Oryctolagus cuniculus: one gene and its partner. The main gene of each other region encodes a partner of the protein of the gene in region 2 in a complex. Links are inferred from orthologs where the notes say so. Each region holds a gene or a part of one and is shown on either strand. Other genes may lie near its edges.

What was found.
Region 1: the proteins of ABCC9 (region 2) and KCNJ8 are in contact, whole or in part, in a cryo-EM structure (PDB 7MIT), measured with the Rattus norvegicus proteins. The link is inferred for Oryctolagus cuniculus from reciprocal best matches to the Homo sapiens genes ABCC9 and KCNJ8. Residues at the interface, in XP_038963045.1 of Rattus norvegicus: Phe5, Ile10, Tyr13, Asn14, Ile15, Val19, Asn22, Cys24, Phe25, Ala28, Leu29, Val32, Val35, Phe36, Phe39, Phe42, Pro43, Ile44, Phe46, Ile47, Gly48, Trp49, Gly50, Ser51, Lys55, Gln57, Ile58, Asn129, Phe130, Lys132; in NP_058795.3 of Rattus norvegicus: Met1, Leu2, Lys5, Ile7, Ile8, Pro9, Glu11, Tyr12, Val13, Leu14, Ala15, Arg16, Ile17, Ala19, Glu20, Asn21, Leu22, Leu45, Ala46, His47, Lys48, Asn49, Gly54, Arg55, Phe56, Leu57, Asp59, Ile60, Thr62, Thr63.

Annotation. Positions count from the first base shown.
Region 1 is NC_091440.1:119,052,795-119,061,260, forward strand, and holds the start of KCNJ8 (ATP-sensitive inward rectifier potassium channel 8), read right to left. Parts: upstream 5,028-8,466; coding exon 4,654-5,027; intron 856-4,653; coding exon 1-855. UniProt on the Homo sapiens protein: Inward rectifier potassium channels are characterized by a greater tendency to allow potassium to flow into the cell rather than out of it.
Region 2 is NC_091440.1:119,192,170-119,199,945, forward strand, and holds part of ABCC9 (ATP-binding cassette sub-family C member 9), read right to left. Parts: intron 5,730-7,776; coding exon 5,535-5,729; intron 3,079-5,534; coding exon 2,926-3,078; intron 2,466-2,925; coding exon 2,310-2,465; intron 1,580-2,309; exon of another isoform or gene 1,248-1,579; intron 619-1,247; exon of another isoform or gene 177-618; coding exon 42-176; intron 1-41. UniProt on the Homo sapiens protein: Subunit of ATP-sensitive potassium channels (KATP). Can form cardiac and smooth muscle-type KATP channels with KCNJ11. KCNJ11 forms the channel pore while ABCC9 is required for activation and regulation.

The DNA of each region.
Region 1 (8,466 bases), about 140 kb from region 2:
ACCTTTGGCACAATGAGGGAAGAGTTGTTCCTTCGGATGGAGTTGTTCCTCCTCATGGAGTTGTTCCTCCGCATGGAATTGCGCTTCCGCAGAGAATTCTGATGGGAGAGTTCGCTCTTCTGGAGGGTCTGGATCAGGATGGATGGCTTCTCATCCAGCTCGCGGGCACTGCACCGTGGGGCAGCCACTTTCATGGTGTTGCCGAATTTGGAGTAATCCACAGAATATACTCCTTCCTCCTCGGTCACGATAGACACGAAGCGGTGGCCCCACTGGATCTCCTCGGCTATGTAGGAGGTTCGCGCTTGGGTGGTAATGCCCGTAGTTTCGACCACTCCTTCCAGGATCACTATGACCTCCAGGTCTTGGTTGGCGAGGTCAGTGGCGGAGATGTCATAGAGGGGGCTGCGCTTATCAATCACGTGGCAGATGATCAATGGGGCCACGAGGAAAATGTTGTTGCTCTCAATGGGGTTATCCACGGGGATGTCGAGCTGGTGGATGGGCACCACCTCCCCCTCGGGGGTGGTCGTCTTCCTGACCACCTGGATGCGCACCGAGGCGCTGATGATCATGCTCTTGCGCAGGTCACCCACCCGGAACATGAAGCACAGCTTGCCATTTCGGACGGCGATCACGGCGTGGCGGCTGAAGATCAGAGTCTCTGCCCTCCGGTGAGCCTGAGCTGTCTTCATGAAGATGCAGCCCAGCATGACTGCGTTGATGATCAAACCCACGATGTTCTGCAGAATTAGCACTGTGATGGCCAGAGGGCACTCCTCGGTCATCATTCTCCCTCCGAAGCCAATAGTCACTTGAACTTCAATGGAGAACAGGAAAGCCGAGGTGAAAGACCTGCATGGGAGGACACCAGACACAATGCCATCAGGTCACATCTTCAGTAATGGCTCACATCCTGAGACAAACTGGTTTTCTTCCTCTAAAGGCTACCTAATGTTTTAGGAAGACTACCTTACTTGACAGATTCCTAATTCTCAGCACAAACATGGCCTCTCTCCAGATGTCTGTCTCGACCTCCAGCCTTCTTGGGGGCAAGTCTATCCATGCTTTCCAGGTCTACAGAGATATGTCTAGTTCTGTAAAAGCTTAACCTAATAAACATACCTATATGTTTGTAGGCATATTTTACTTTGTCAAACACTCTATTTTCACAAGGCATAGTTTACTTGATAAAACTTGGTACCAGGTACTTAGTATTGCTGGCATTTCTGTGTTTAAGAGACGTGAATCTTATAGAAGGCATTCATAACCTTTAAATTCCTATTCAATAGCTAACACTTGTGTACCTTATACAGTATAAAATACAGTGAGGATGGGTGCAAAACACATCAGTTCTGAAAAATAGGATTTTAAATGTAAAAGTATGCCTTACTATTTCAAAATAATAGGTTTTTAGAGATATCTCATTTTGTTCTCTAAGTGATGTAGAGAATATTGAAGCTATTATAGGAAGAATTTGAATCAAAGCTCAGTAAATAACTGGGTAAAGATCTTGTAATGATGACGAGCTTGAGTCCTTTCCATTCCTGCCTACTGCTCTGAAAGGGGCAAAGTGAATGAGCCAGGAAGTGTCGGGATTTTCTTGGGATGTGTCTGCAAACTGTGTATCTCCATATCCTAGTGAATAGGTGTTGATTCACAAGGCTCAGGTTGGACTTTGTAAAGACCCTTGAAAAGCTCTTAAATCATTCTGAAGCTGCTGGTTGAGAGTCAACATGTTTGGTGGTTATGAATTTACTCATTTAACCGCATATCCAGTATTCCTGTGGCTTCTTCATAGAAACAATATGAGCCTTATTGTTGCAATTAACCCCCATTTCAAACTTCTCTCATTTTGTAAATATAAACCATGCATTAGCCAGGCACAATAAGTGAGCAAGGTGGGAAAACTTTGGAGTCCTTGGCATACAGAGTGCAATTCAACAGGAACCCAAGAGGGGTAGGCATGTATATACCGATGACTCTTTGCTAGCTGTTAAGTGGAGTGCAAAAGTTAACTTTTTCCTCTTGTGTGGCAAAAAGAATTCATTGAAAAAAATAGAATAATTGCTTTTTTTTGCACCAGCTAAACACAATAAGATAAATGATATGATCCAGAACCATGGTAAAGAACAGGAATGACCCACAGATGAGGGGCATGGATACGATACAGTCTCCAATAACACATTCATGCTTTACTGAAGAACAGCCCCAGATGTCTTGTTCTAATGCTTCGAGAGACCATTCACCTGCCATATTTTGCATATCATTTATTTTATGGAAAAAATTCAATTCTAAACCTTACATAACCTGCAAGATCCAGCATTTTATGCAAAGCAATCTCAAGAACGAAAATTAAGTAGCTGCTCCTTGGTTCTGTGACAGAGAAAGCTAGGTTGAATAATGAGAAGGAGGAAATGCGTTGCTCTATTTTCTGACTCATGTTAGAACGGCATCTATACAGAGGAGAAAGTGAGTCATTATAAAATAAGAATGGCCAAACTTGTTAGGAAACACGGATGAATATCCATTGAAAAACATTGCTTTCAATTTTGATACTGTGGTTGGACATTGAACTTATGAAAATAAAGGAAAGGCAAAGAGTAAGAATTACTATTAATCATCCTTTGAGATCCCTTTGGGAGTGAATAAAGATTTCTCTGTGTCTATACTTTCAGGAAAAAAAAATTGTTATGGCTGGTTTGTTCTGATTAAGCTATGTAGAGATTAAAGTTTAAATAGTACCATAACACTAAAATAATTAAGAAACCTTAGAAAGTCAAACAATTGAGTAAAAAGTGCAATTTAAAATGTTAAAATTATTCTGCTGAGAAAATCAACTTTTTCCCATTGTATTTTTGACATGACGTCTGTTGACACCAACTGAAATGCTACAGGAAACAGAATGTGCTTCAGAATGCATCTTGTTTGAAAAATAGGAAGTAGCAGTAAACAGCTTTTAATAACCAGTACACTCTGAAATTCGTCTAAAAAACATTGAAAGGCTATCACTTTTCATAATCTCTATATTTAAAATTGTCTAATTTCTTTTTCCTGGGAAAAAGGTGATATATTTGTCCTGTGAATAAAATCTGTCATTTATTTTCAAAGTTTTTATTATTGCATGCACCTTTTTTATCAATATCTGCTATGTATTTATTAAAATATTTTTTGCTATGAGAATGATTTACATTATCTGTATAGGTTTTCAAAAGAAAAACACAGTATTATAGACCACGACAACTGACCTCCAAATACTTCTGAAATAGTGCTTTGTTCTAAAACTAGTATGCTAATGATCACCTGTATTTTTCGCCTACATTTAACTTTGAGGCCAAAATTGTTGACAAATTTGAGAAAAGAAAATAATATCTACTGGTGGTAAAAGTAATGGGTCCATTCAATATCATTTTCTGTCCTCAAAATCTCAGCTGGAGTCTGTGGTTGGGCTCTGTGAATACGACTACTGCTTCCCTCCCTCCAGGGCAGGCACTGCAGCCACAGAGCAAAGGAAACAGTGCACAAGCTCACTCTGCTTTGCTTCTTGCAGTGCAAAGCAGCGCAAAGCAGGTCTCCTAGGACTTCAGGGTCATGAAAAGTCTCATTCTTTACAGTTTCCTGGCAGTGCAGTCCTGTTCAAGGTCCTTTGCTTTGTGCATGCTTTGAATTGGGAAATTTATTCAGAATATGCCCTGGAAATTTTTCCTGTATTATTTCTATCTTTTTGCTTCTAAGAGAACTTTTTTTTTTTTGCAATTGATATAAATTATCTCTGTCTTTCAACAAAACAAACAGTCCAACTAAATCCGCTTAGGCCATGCGAGAATTGAGAGGGCAATCACTAAAATAAAATGTACCTTAGCACTTCTTGAAATACTTAATGATCAAGGAAGAAGCCAAAGTTAGGTAATAGAAGACTGTCTTGTTCTCTTACAACTTTGAAAGAAGACCACAACATTAATTTATTTCCAGATAACCTCTTCCATGAAAATTTGGGACTAAGTTTCATTAAAAATTAATACGATCTTACTCTGAATCTTAACTTTGCCTTCACTGGGTTTTAAAATTCAATCAGCTCTGTTAAGATGATCTTGATAAAGAAGAGCTTATATTTATTTCAGTTATTAAATTTTTAGTAGATTTTTAAAATCCAGGACACCCCCCCACATTGCCTTCTCCATTTTCTAATTTTTGAACACACTTATGCATGAGAGAATTCATGGAAAAATAGTACCAACAGTCACACAGTGATTTTTTTTTTTTGATAACCAGATTATTACCACTGACACTGGAACAATGCACAGCTTCTTCAAACTGAAACTGAATGAGTGCCTTCTTGGAGTAAGGGGTGCTGTGGAATTCATTAACCTACAGTTGTTGAATACGAGGTGTAGCACTCGGGCCAGCGCCAAGAATGGAAGTGTCACACTTTCAGGGACTCTTCATCCACAAAGCTACACTTAGAAAGATTTGCAATGTGTTGGCTGTGGCTTTTCTCCCTGTCATGTTGCTTTTTTGTTTCTGAAGGATCTAAAAGAAACCCTTGATCTTTTTTTTTTCCAGCAAAATAACAGGATGCTAAGAGGAAGGGCATCCTAACATTTTGCTGCTGCCTCACTTTCAACCCCAGCCTCGCCCCCCGCGCGCTCCCACCTGACGTTGGTGACACACACTGTGGACTCCAAAGCACTCTTCTCCATGCCGCCCTTTTCCATGTAGGCGTAGATGTCGCCGTGGGCAAAGGCCACCAGCCACCACATGATGGCGAAGAGCAGCCAGCTGCAGAGGAAGGACATGGTGAAGATGACCAGCGTGTGGCGCCACTTGAGGTCCACCAGGGTGGTGAAGATATCCTGCAGGAAGCGCCCCTGCTCGCGAATGTTCTTGTGCGCCAGGTTGCAGGCCCCGCTCTTGGCGATGAAGCGCGCTTTGGGCAGGCGGTCGCGGATGCGCGGCTTGCGCAGGTTTTCCGCGGCGATGCGCGCCAGCACATATTCCTCCGGGATGATGCTCTTTCGGGCCAACATGGTCCCGTCAGCATAGCCAGCCTATCCACCTGCCTCTGCCCAGCCTCTGCTGCCCTGGGGACCCGTCCTCCTGCAGAGGGAAATGTGGATTAAACACTGGAAGAAAGAACCCCCCCGAACGTCAGTTGCTCACCTCTGTAGTCCTACTCCGGGACAAGCCAAAACAAACAAAAAAACCGCGACTGGCTGCGCTTGGTTAGGTTCTGGGCTCGCAGCAAAGTTAATCTGATTGGAATCGGGACCATTGTTTGGATGTCGTCATTCCGAACACACTTGGGGGGCACAGGCTCCGTTCAATAAAGCAGGAGGCAGCCTGGAGGCAGCAAGCGCTAAAATAATTCTTTGCGATTAACCGATTAACCGCATCTGCCCGTGAGTTCAGAGGCACCTGCGCGCGGCGCGGAGGAGGAAAACCGAGACCAGCTGGGTACTGGAGCATTGACAGATGGAGCAATAGTACAAGTAAAGAGGGAGAAAATTCTTCCCCTGTTTTTACAACAGCAGAGGCCGCGTGGCCTCGTGCGTCTTAGGAACTCGTTAAAAGCAACCTCACACAATCACATTCAGTGCGCTACGCAACTCGAACATAACGAAGAATAGTTTGCAAGGGGAAGGAAGGGCGAGCTGCGTTTCCAAAAACGCACGAAAAAGTTGCCTGTGGAGTCCCGCCACACTCCAAACTTCTTTGCAACGAACGGGGCAAACCCGATCTGCGCGCAAACCCGCAGCGCCGTGGGCTGCGGGCTGTGGCGGGGTCAAGGCAGCGCCGCGGTGCTTGGCCTGTTCAGCCTTTGGCGGGGACGCGGGCAGCCTCCCCCTCCCGTGCCCCGGAGGCGCGCCGAGACTTACAGACTGCGAGCCCCGCGCGCGGCCGCTGCCCCTCGCGGCTCCCGCGGGCGCACCGCGGGCGGCTCCACGGCGCTCCCATGCCGGCGCCGCGCGGGAAGCCGGGGCCCCAGCGCCGGAGGCACGGATCCGGGCGCCGCTGGTCCCAAGCTGCAGAGCGATAAAACTAAAGGTGCACGGGGAGTCCGCGCGCGGGGAGGGCTGGAGGAAGGGGTGGGTGGGTGGGTGGGTGTGGACCCCCCTTTCCCCTCCCCCGGCTCAGCGCTGCGCCCTGGGCCCCTGCTGGCTGCAGCCGAGGTTTTGGGGGCACGGAGCTTGGGAGGGATGCTCCTCAAAATCAGCCTTCCCCGCGAGGGCTCTGATGTGCGCCAGGGGTGGGGGCGGGAGGGCCCGGGCCGGGGGAGGGGCGGCCCGGGGAGGGCGGGGCCCGCCGTGCGCGCTGGGTTCCCAGTAGCCGCGACCCCCTGCGCTCGCGGGACACCGCAGGCTTTAAAAGGCTCTGCGCGAGGGGGAGAGCTGTGCAGTCCAAGATAGCTGACGTAAGGCGATCTGTATTTTTATTTTCACTTTATTTTGTAACCTGGGCAGATAGCTGGGCTATTTCAGGCTGAATTAAGCGAGAGTAAGAGAGAGATGCAAAGATATTCTTGCGAGGCGTTCAAGCTGTGTACAGCACACACAGTGAAACTGGTGTTAAATTTCCGTCGAAAAGGAACGGTGCCGGTGGTTGGTGTCCTGAAGCTTCAGCCACTTCTCAGGGAATTAACACACACAACTACCACGACCAAAAAAAAAAAAAAAAAAAAAAACCAGAAAAGGACTGGTGTTCTCGTCCAATGAAGAAATGTTACCCCAATCAGGACCGCTGTCAACACTGGAGCACTGACCCGGCCCTGCGGGCTGCAGCAATGGGCTGCCCCCTGACAGCCTGTGGCTTCGCGCTCTTGTCTGGAGTGTCTGATGGATAAGACAGGCCAGTGGCGCGCAGGAATGAGCATAGGGCGGTTAACTTCCCATAGCTTGTTGCAAACGAGCCAGCGGAGACAAATGAATGGGCTTTCTCCTACAGGTCGAACTGCGTCGTGCTTTTGGCACTTGAGTTAATGGATACTTGAATTCTTGAAAATATCATGCATTTTCCAAGATTCAAGGCCAAAAGTGTATGGAGCATAAACACTGTGTGTAATGACCAGAAATCCTAAAATTAGTATTTAATGAAGGCAGATGGATAGTTTTTCCCCCTTGTGGAGAGATGTGCTTAACCCCTTCATGCCTAGGGAACCTGGTCTGTTACTGGTTGCTTTTATGTACTCTCGTTAGTTTTTGCAGTAGTGTGTGAATATCTGTTTGTGAAGTTGATCCCTTGCACTTTTATTTTACAATTAAGTTTGCTGTACAATTTATTATCCATTATTTTAACTCAGACTCCTATTTTGTAAAGTTAATTTTTTAGGTTTGCATATCTAGAAATATATAAATATGTAAATGATTATTGCTGATGCTAAAGAAAGTTAATTATAAAAGACATTGATAATTTAATGCACGCAAGAATGATTAGAAATTGAAAGTAAATACAACAAAATGAGAGTTCAAATTAGAGACATTTAAGACTCAGACTAAAGAAATACTGTGGATTATTGGACATCTGATTAGATATATTTGGAGTATAGAGAAAATCAGAGGAAAAACATTCCACAGAGAGGAAATGGCATGAGCACAGTCCAGGAGTATGGTAAGAGTGGGCTGTATGTTAGAAAGATGATTAATTTAATCAGCATTGCTGAAGCCATGTGGGATTGGGCACTGGAATCCAGGACTCTGCTAAGCAGGCTCTGTCACCACCGTTCTTAAAACATAATGACTTATTCATATTCCTGTCCTACCTAAGCCTATCCCCATGCGAAGAACTGCTCGAGGGTATGGAGCACTGTACAGAGGTGCTCAAAAAATATTTTTCAATCAATGAATGGAAAACAAGTTTGGGAAAGCATGTTGGGATCCGGAAACAAAATGTAGATAGAATAAGATAGCTTAAAAGGTTTGCCAAGGGACCCGGACTGCTTTCAACAGTAATGGTGAGGTGTGGAAAGATTGAAAGAGGGGGCAAGCATTTGGTTCAGCAGTTAAGACCCTGCTTTGGGACATCCACGTTGCATAGCAGAGTGCCTGGGTTCGAGTCTTGGATTTGAGTCTTGGCTTGCAAAGCAGCTGCCTGCTAATGGGACATAGCAGAGAGCTGGGACATAGCTCAGCTGCCTGGGTCTGACCCACTGACGTGATACACCTGGATGGAAGTCCAGGCTTGGTAGGGCTCGGGGCTTGCAGTTGGCCCAGCTCTGGCTGTTGCAGACATTTGAGAGTTGACCAGTGGATGGAAGATCTTTCTCTGTCACTGTGCTTTTCAAATAAATAAATTAAAAAAATTTGATCAGACAATAAAAAATAAGAGCTTGTTTTAGGAGGATTTATCAAGAAGCAGAGGATATGATATAGTGGCTTTCAGGGATGCCTTTCCAGTCCCTTGAGCTCCAAAATTCTATGGCTGGCGGAAGAGTGCACTGAAACTATTACACAAAGAATGAAGCCTTGGCTA
Region 2 (7,776 bases):
ACTGTATCTTCCTCATCAAGTTTCCAAGAGATGTCACTTACAAGAGTGCTCTTCTGAGCTTCTGCCAACTTTGTGGCAATGAAGTACTGCATTGGTGCAAGGAGTACAATGACAGCTGCACCAACCAATGCGCTGGATCCAAGTAAATTGTAGAGCAGAATCACTCCCATGATGATCTAGCAAGAGAAACACATGGGCACGAATGAGACTGTGGGAGCCGCTGCAGCAAAGGACATATTTTTAATGGAAATGTAGTACCTCTTAATTATTAAGTTTATTTGGAAGTCAACTCAACTGTGACAGCTGGGTTCTAACTATTTTTTATTTGAGGAAGGCTAAGCACTAGGAATTTATTTTTAGTATGATGAGCTGCGCAACTGGTGTCAAATCTATTTACTGGATGAAGTTGCAGGCTGCGCCCATGATGCTCCTGACCTTCTAAAGCAGACTTAATATGTTTTAAATGGCAGAGCATTTTTTCTGGAAAATGCTATCACTCAACCTTCCATTTTCTCTTTGAATTATCCTAACTTCAAGGATGCCTGGTTGTTGACTGGTAGAATTATCTGGAATCCAATCATCACGTCATGCCAAGAAGGCAAGGCTTCACTGGAACTGGTAAGAACCCAAAGTTGCAATACCTCCCTGTCTCACTTCCCTTTTTATACTTATTTACCAAAATCCAAGCCTAAACCATATGGCTATTCTCCTTGGTTTGACACTTTCCTTGTATTCCTTTAAAGACTCAAGAATTGATTTTGCTAGCATGGAAATATTTTTTTTTCCTAGAGCTCAATTTATCATGGCTCAAAAGCTCAGTTCGTGAATTGTGGCTACACAGTTTAAGCACATACTCTATGCCATGAGAACATAACTGCTTTCTGGTGGCAAGGACACAGGCTTGCTAGCAAGTGAATTAGGTACACTAGGAATTCTCATCTAAACAAAGTCTCCCCTGAATTCACTCACAAAAGCAGTCATTCAGTGCATTGTGGGATTCTCAGTGCACTTATTTATACAACACAGGCAGCTATTTAATGGACTACCATAAGTACATTTTGATAAAACAAAACATATCTTCATTTTACTTTTGTGCCAAGCACTACACTACTTGGCTCCTCCTTCCACTTTAAAAATGAGACGAAAAGTTAAAAAACTAGCATATCTCTTTTATTATTTTATACACTGTTAATAAATGTAGTACCCAGGTACATAGGTGACAGATTCTGTCAAAAATATGTCTACAGGGCCAGTGCATGGCACAGTGGGTTGATCCTCCGCCTGCGGCGCCGGCATCCCATATAGGCACCGGTTCTAGTCCCGGCTGCTCTTCTTCCGATTCAGCTCTCTGCTGTGACCTGGGAAAGCAGTGGAGGATGACCCAAGTCCTTGGACCCCTGCGCCCACGTGGGAGACCCAGAGGAAGCTCCTGGCTCCTGGCTTCAGATCAGTGCAGCTCCAGCCATTGTGGCCATTTGGGGAGTGAACCTGCGGATCAAAGACCTTTCTCTTGTCTCTCCCTCTCACCGTCTGTAACTCTACTTCTCAAATAAATAAATAAAAATCTTTTAAAAAAAAATACGTCTACAGTTTAAGCTCCATCTACAGAATGCAAAGCTTCAGATGGCGAAAAATATTTAAGACGACAGCAAAAAAAAAAAAAAAAAAAAAAAAACCAGAATCCATTTCTTTTGCCATTTTTACCCAGTTGGAGGTAGGGGATTAACCACATGTCTTTACTAAAATGCTGTTTTACAAAAAAGAAATCTAAATAGTCCTCTGGTTTGTCAGTGTTCCTAACACCTAAAAAGCCTGATATTTTATAACATACTAGCTATTAATGCTATGGAGTAGATTAAATCCATCGCTCCATCTTAGCAAAGCTGTAAGAGAGTCTGTCAAAATGAAAGGGGCCAAATCTTGGCTCTGTGACTTGGAAGAATTTACACAGTAATACCAACTAGGAGCAATCACCACAGAATGCTAGACATTGTTGCAAATGCTTTACACATACTGGCATTAAATCTTGACAATTTCCACAACTCTACAAAGCAGATACTATCATTATTCCAATTTTATAATTACAGAAATAATGCTTTCAGAGATTAAGTACTGTGCAATGGAACAGTAGAGCAAAAATTCCTAACTGTACTTTCTTAATGTATTGATGAGTCTCAGCTTACCTGTCTGTAAAACAAATATAACATTAGCACATTCAAAGAGTATGCCAGTACTGAGCTAATTGTCTTGCTCTTCATTTTTTTTTTTTTTCCCCTCTGCAAATGAGAATCTTAGTTATCATGATCTACCTGAACAGGCATGGCCCACAGATTGGGGCACAGGAACAAGAACCACATGAGTTGATTGGTTTCAATGGCAACCAAATTGTTGATCTGTCCCAGGGTCATCTCACCCATGGATAAGTTAGATGTAGAGAGCCTGAGTATTTTATTGTATATCATGGCCTGCAAAAAAAAAAAAACAAGACACACTTTAAAACTTAACATCAGCACTATAATTATTTTCATCGAAGACGTTTTAAACTTTTTGAAAAATAACAAAGTCCTGTATACCCACCTTCAAAGTCTACTTTTTTAGTGTACTGTTAGTCCTCAATTAGATACCTTTTTCTAGAAATATCATCAAAATATATATTCAACTTTAAACATAAGCTCAATAACAAACAGAATCAGGGATGAGTAAATACAAGAATTAAATATTTTTTTCTTAACATGTTATGTTATTTTTAAGTTAATACTCTAATTAGCTCTGTATTTCTTCCATCCTGCAAATGTTGCTGTTGTAATATCAAAGCCCAAGTGGAATGAAAAAGCAAAAGTGAAAAAGTGAAGCTACTACTGTTCCTTTCCCTGGATCAGATATGGACTTTTTGAGACACAAAGACCAATCAAAGCTTGCACCTACCAACAGAGCTCCGCGGAGGTTGATGCCAGTCTCTATGGTTACGTAGTAGGAAGCCTGCAAAAACGTCCTTTGCAGAATAAGAGCCAAGAAGAGAAGAACTGCAAGAACATAAGCATTTTCGAGAAATTCCTTGGATGAGAGAATTTCTGAAATCTTGTCCCAAAAGAAAAAAAAAGAGACAAATTTAAGCAAGTCTTTTCGTATACCAAGTCTATAGTCTACATTAAATAAAGCTATATGGTATTCACATATAAATACTCAAAGTCATCATAATGTAAGTAGAATGAGCCACAACAGGCAATTTTGGCTTTCCCCTAGAATGTACACAAATACAAAAAAGTAGTGATGAATAAAATCCCCAATGACTTAAGATGGCTAGAATGTCTTTTGTAGAAAAGGGGTCAATGCATATTTTTAAAAATTTGCATACATTGTCCTGCAAAGAAAAGATAATTGAGAAGTTCAGGGGAAACTGAAATTTAGAAAAGAAATCCATCTGGCTGAAAAACACTGACATCTATGCAGAGATTTTTATAACACATTTTCCATGAACTTTTGGAAAATGCTTCATATTCTATCTAAGCTAAATGAGAAGCAGGAAAAATAAAAAGTAGAATTTAGTTTAGACTGTAATGTAGAACTAGGAACCACAAAACTGAGAGCTGTCAGTAAAATCAATGAAAATAAAATACAAGTTCCACAACCTTACTACTTCAGAATAATTCTACAAGTTGACTTTTCCCAGTTCTTCCGTATCATAATTTATATTAGTGAAGTAAGTTACAAAGTATAAAATATCAGATTACTGACTTTACCCATGTGACTCTTCCAGTAACCAAACACAACTTAGGAAAGTTCATTTTAGTAGGAATGTGACTAAATTAATCATAGATATGTAAAATCCCTTCATCTTTGTTTCTAATGATGGTTTTATATGGAAACATGTTTGTTAGAAGCAAGCAAAGGTAACAATCAACTAAGCACATTATGGCCATTCGGATACTCCTCATTTTCTACATCAAAAGTTCAGCCTCTACCTCTAGTCCCTCACACTTGTGTCATGGAGATACATATAAAGCCACAAGTTCTACCGTGTCTCAGAAAAACACATGGTCAATATGTGTAAGAGACAAGGATGGTGGCAGTACTCTGCAGAATTTAGATATGTATCTAATTAGGGTAGCAAGGCCAAAAATGGCAAGTGCATTCAGCAGTGAAAATATGTGGTTCACTTCAATAGTAATTAAACACGAATATGTGCAAGAATCCAGGCTGAGAATTGTAGGTACAAATGTGAATAGTTCAATCATTCTGTTCAAAGAACTCACAACCCAAAAAGATGAACTGATCCGTGAGTAACATGGTTTATTATGAAGACGGCAGATGTAGAAAGTATCCACCTAAAGTTAATCAAGTGTTAGGCAAATACTGAGGAGAAGCAAATTTCAAGTAGGATAATCAGAAAATGGCTTTGCTGCCGAGGCAGCATTTAACATAGGCTATGATAATGCACAAAATTTAAACAGATGGAAAGATGAGCATGACAATCAGATTGAAGGAATATAAAGTGAGAGTTAATCAATCTGAACGAGAGTTAGTATCTACGAAACTAGGGAAATAAATTATTTTAAACTAGAATGTTCATGATCCAGACCTTCTTAAGAATGGAAAATGAAAGGTTACATATTCATAACAAATTTGACTGAATTATATACTATACATTTATTGTTATAAATGTAATCTAAACATATAACTTGGGTGGCGCTATGGCTTAGCAGGTAAAGCCACCTCCTGCAATGCCAGCACCTGCTTCAAGTCCTGGCTGCTCTACTTCCAATGCAGCTCCTTGCTATGGCCTGGAAAATCTATAAAAGATGGCCCAAGTCCTTGAGTCCCTGCACCCACATGGGAGACCCCAAAGAAGCTCTAGGCGCCTGGCTTCAGATGAGCCCAGCTCTGGCCATTGTAGCCATTAGGGCAATGAACCAGCACATGGAAGACCTCTCTCTCTCTCTCTGCCTCCATTTCTCTGCAAGTCTGCCTTTCAAATAAACAAAAAAAAAATCCTTTTTTAAAAAGCATTAAACTCATAACTTTTTAGGTGAAAATATATACCATATATCTCCCAAATAACAATATAATGCATAATAAAATATATCACTATTTGCTTTATTCATTAGCAAAGAGATTAATGAATTTTATTATATGAAAAAAGAAATGTACAATATTATAAATCATATTTTAATATCATTGGTCATGGGCCTCTAAATATATGCCTCAACCATTCCTCATGCTGAAAATTCTTTAAAAGATTGCTATGAAGATCCAAAGAATGCAAGATTTCTGTCCATAATTTCTGGCATACAGAGGTTCACCAAATATTTATGGGCATTGAATCCCCAAAATAATTTTGTTGGTCAGCTACCTTCAGTGAATACATAGACACATGACTTTCTATACAAGAAAAATGATTATTTTTGTCCTAACATAAGCATTCAAACTGTCAGTAAGACTGCTTAAGCTACTCACAGGAACGTATTAATGGAAAGTGACCATTACACCAAAATCTGCCAGTAACATGCTTCCTTTGACAAGTATCACAAACTTACTCCGGTTGTGTTATTTGTTCCATTTTGGGTTTCATTTACACGCTGAACTATTCCAGAAATACAGAGCGGCCCGGCAAATCCCAGTAAGTCAGCCAGATACCGAAATGTGCTGCTAAGCAGAATCGGCCGTCCAAAAGCTCTGTACATGGCAAGCCATATAGATGGAGTCCGGTTTGGATGATCTGCTGCTTTTTTCTGAAAGTGAAACCAGATAAACCAAAGTAAAATCTTCTATGGCAGCAACTAATATCAGCAACTATGCAAATTCCTTACAAGAGTCCTGAAAATACTTTGAAAGCGTAGAGAGGCAAGTGTTTGGGTCTAGGGTGAGGATTCCCACAATTCATATCAGAGTGCCTGGGTGTGCATCCCTGCCCCACTTTTAACCTAGCTAGCTGATATATGCTGGCTGTGCACTAACAGCTCAAATACACTCATTTCTGCTACCTTCTATGGGAGACCCAGCAGGATTTCTTGTCTCCCAACTTCAGACTGGCACAGCCCAACTGTTGTGGACATTTGGGGAGTCAACTAGTGGATGAATAATCAATCAATAACTCTCCCTCTCTCCCTCCCTCTTCCCCTTTCAAGTAAATACATACATAAATAAAATGACAACTTAAAGTTTAGAGAAATTTTAATGAGTCCTTTTCAGTATAGAATACACAATTCTATATATTCTTTCATTGTAACTAAGAGTTGGTATTAAATGCATTTCAATGAAGTCAACAGAATAAAAACAGGTCAGAATTTCTGAGATTCTATTATTTTTAATTGTCAAAAGATGATGCCAAAGACTTAAAACTATGTACAGTTTTAATTTCTTTTGGCTTGGAAAATTTGTGTCTCTCATAGACATTAAATAATACCATCTGTTAATCTTTAATGAGGGAACAACAGTAGAAGTTAAAGTTATAGACACACCAGCCAAATTTTCTGAAGTATGTATATCACCAGAGGTTTATCTACCAGACTATTACAACCTAAACAAACTGAATCTTCCCAACCTCAAATTATTTTTCCTACCAGTTTTTCCATCTCTGTGAATGGTAGTCAACACTTTCCAAAAACTACGGTAACTTTGTGTTTGCTAGGTATTCCTAAAAGAAAGGCAAAATAAAGGATGCCTAAAATGCTTCAATTAACTCATGGCTTCACATCTTTACAGCTGTTAACTGTACAGATCTCAAAACCTGGATAATATCCATCATTAAAATTTGGGGACGAGGTGGATAAAATTTTTCTTTGCAACAAATAAACCAATTCAATGGGATGGACCTCAGTTGTGCTTCATAATGTATTTTCTGTTAGAGGACTGTTATTTTCTAAAGTTTACTGACAAAAGACATTACTGTACCAAATTCAACCTGATCTATGTTGTTGTTGTTGTTCTTTTTTTTTTTTTTTTTTTTTTGAGAGGCAGAGTGGACAGTGAGAGAGAGAGACAGACAGACAGAAAGGTCTTCCTTTTGCCGTTGGTTCACCCTCCAATGGCCGCCGCGGCCAGCGCGCTGCGGCCGGCACACCGCGCTGATCCGATGGCAGGAGCCAGGTGCTTCTCCTGGTCTCCCATGGGGTGCAGGGCCCAAGCACTTGGGCCATCCTCCACTGCACTCCCTGGCCACAGCAGAGAGCTGGCCTGGAAGAGGGACAACCGGCACAGAATCCGGCACCCCGACCGGGACTAGAACCCGGTGTGCCGGCGCCGCAGGCAGAGGATTAGCCTAGTGAGCTGCGGCGCCAGCCCTGATCTATGTTGTTAAAAGCACTAAGAAAATTAAAGCTATGCCTACACCATACTGCAAATTTTTACTTCAGCAGAGAAGTTTTTAAAATATGATGCAATGTTTTTCCCAGAGGTGAAACCAGAGAAATGACTCAGGTTCATTCATAGTACTCATTTCCGGCAATATTAATTTCATAACACTCACGTCTACCACAAAACAAAAGTCAGTGTCATCATTTACCATAAATGCTTTGTTGATCTTGACTTACAATAGCCAAAAACTTGTAACTTATTCACCATACCCTACTTTCTCTCCAGGGTAGTAGTGAATACTAAAATTTTTTAAGTCTTCTGGGATTTGAAGATAACTGCAATACAAAACACATCTAATACTGTGACATTCCAAAATAATAGTAAGACAAACTGAAAATTTCCACATTTTTATCTTTGAAGCTTTCAAAGTAATAATTAACATTCAAAGAAAGTACCAGAGGAAACCAATTTTAGAAAGTAAAC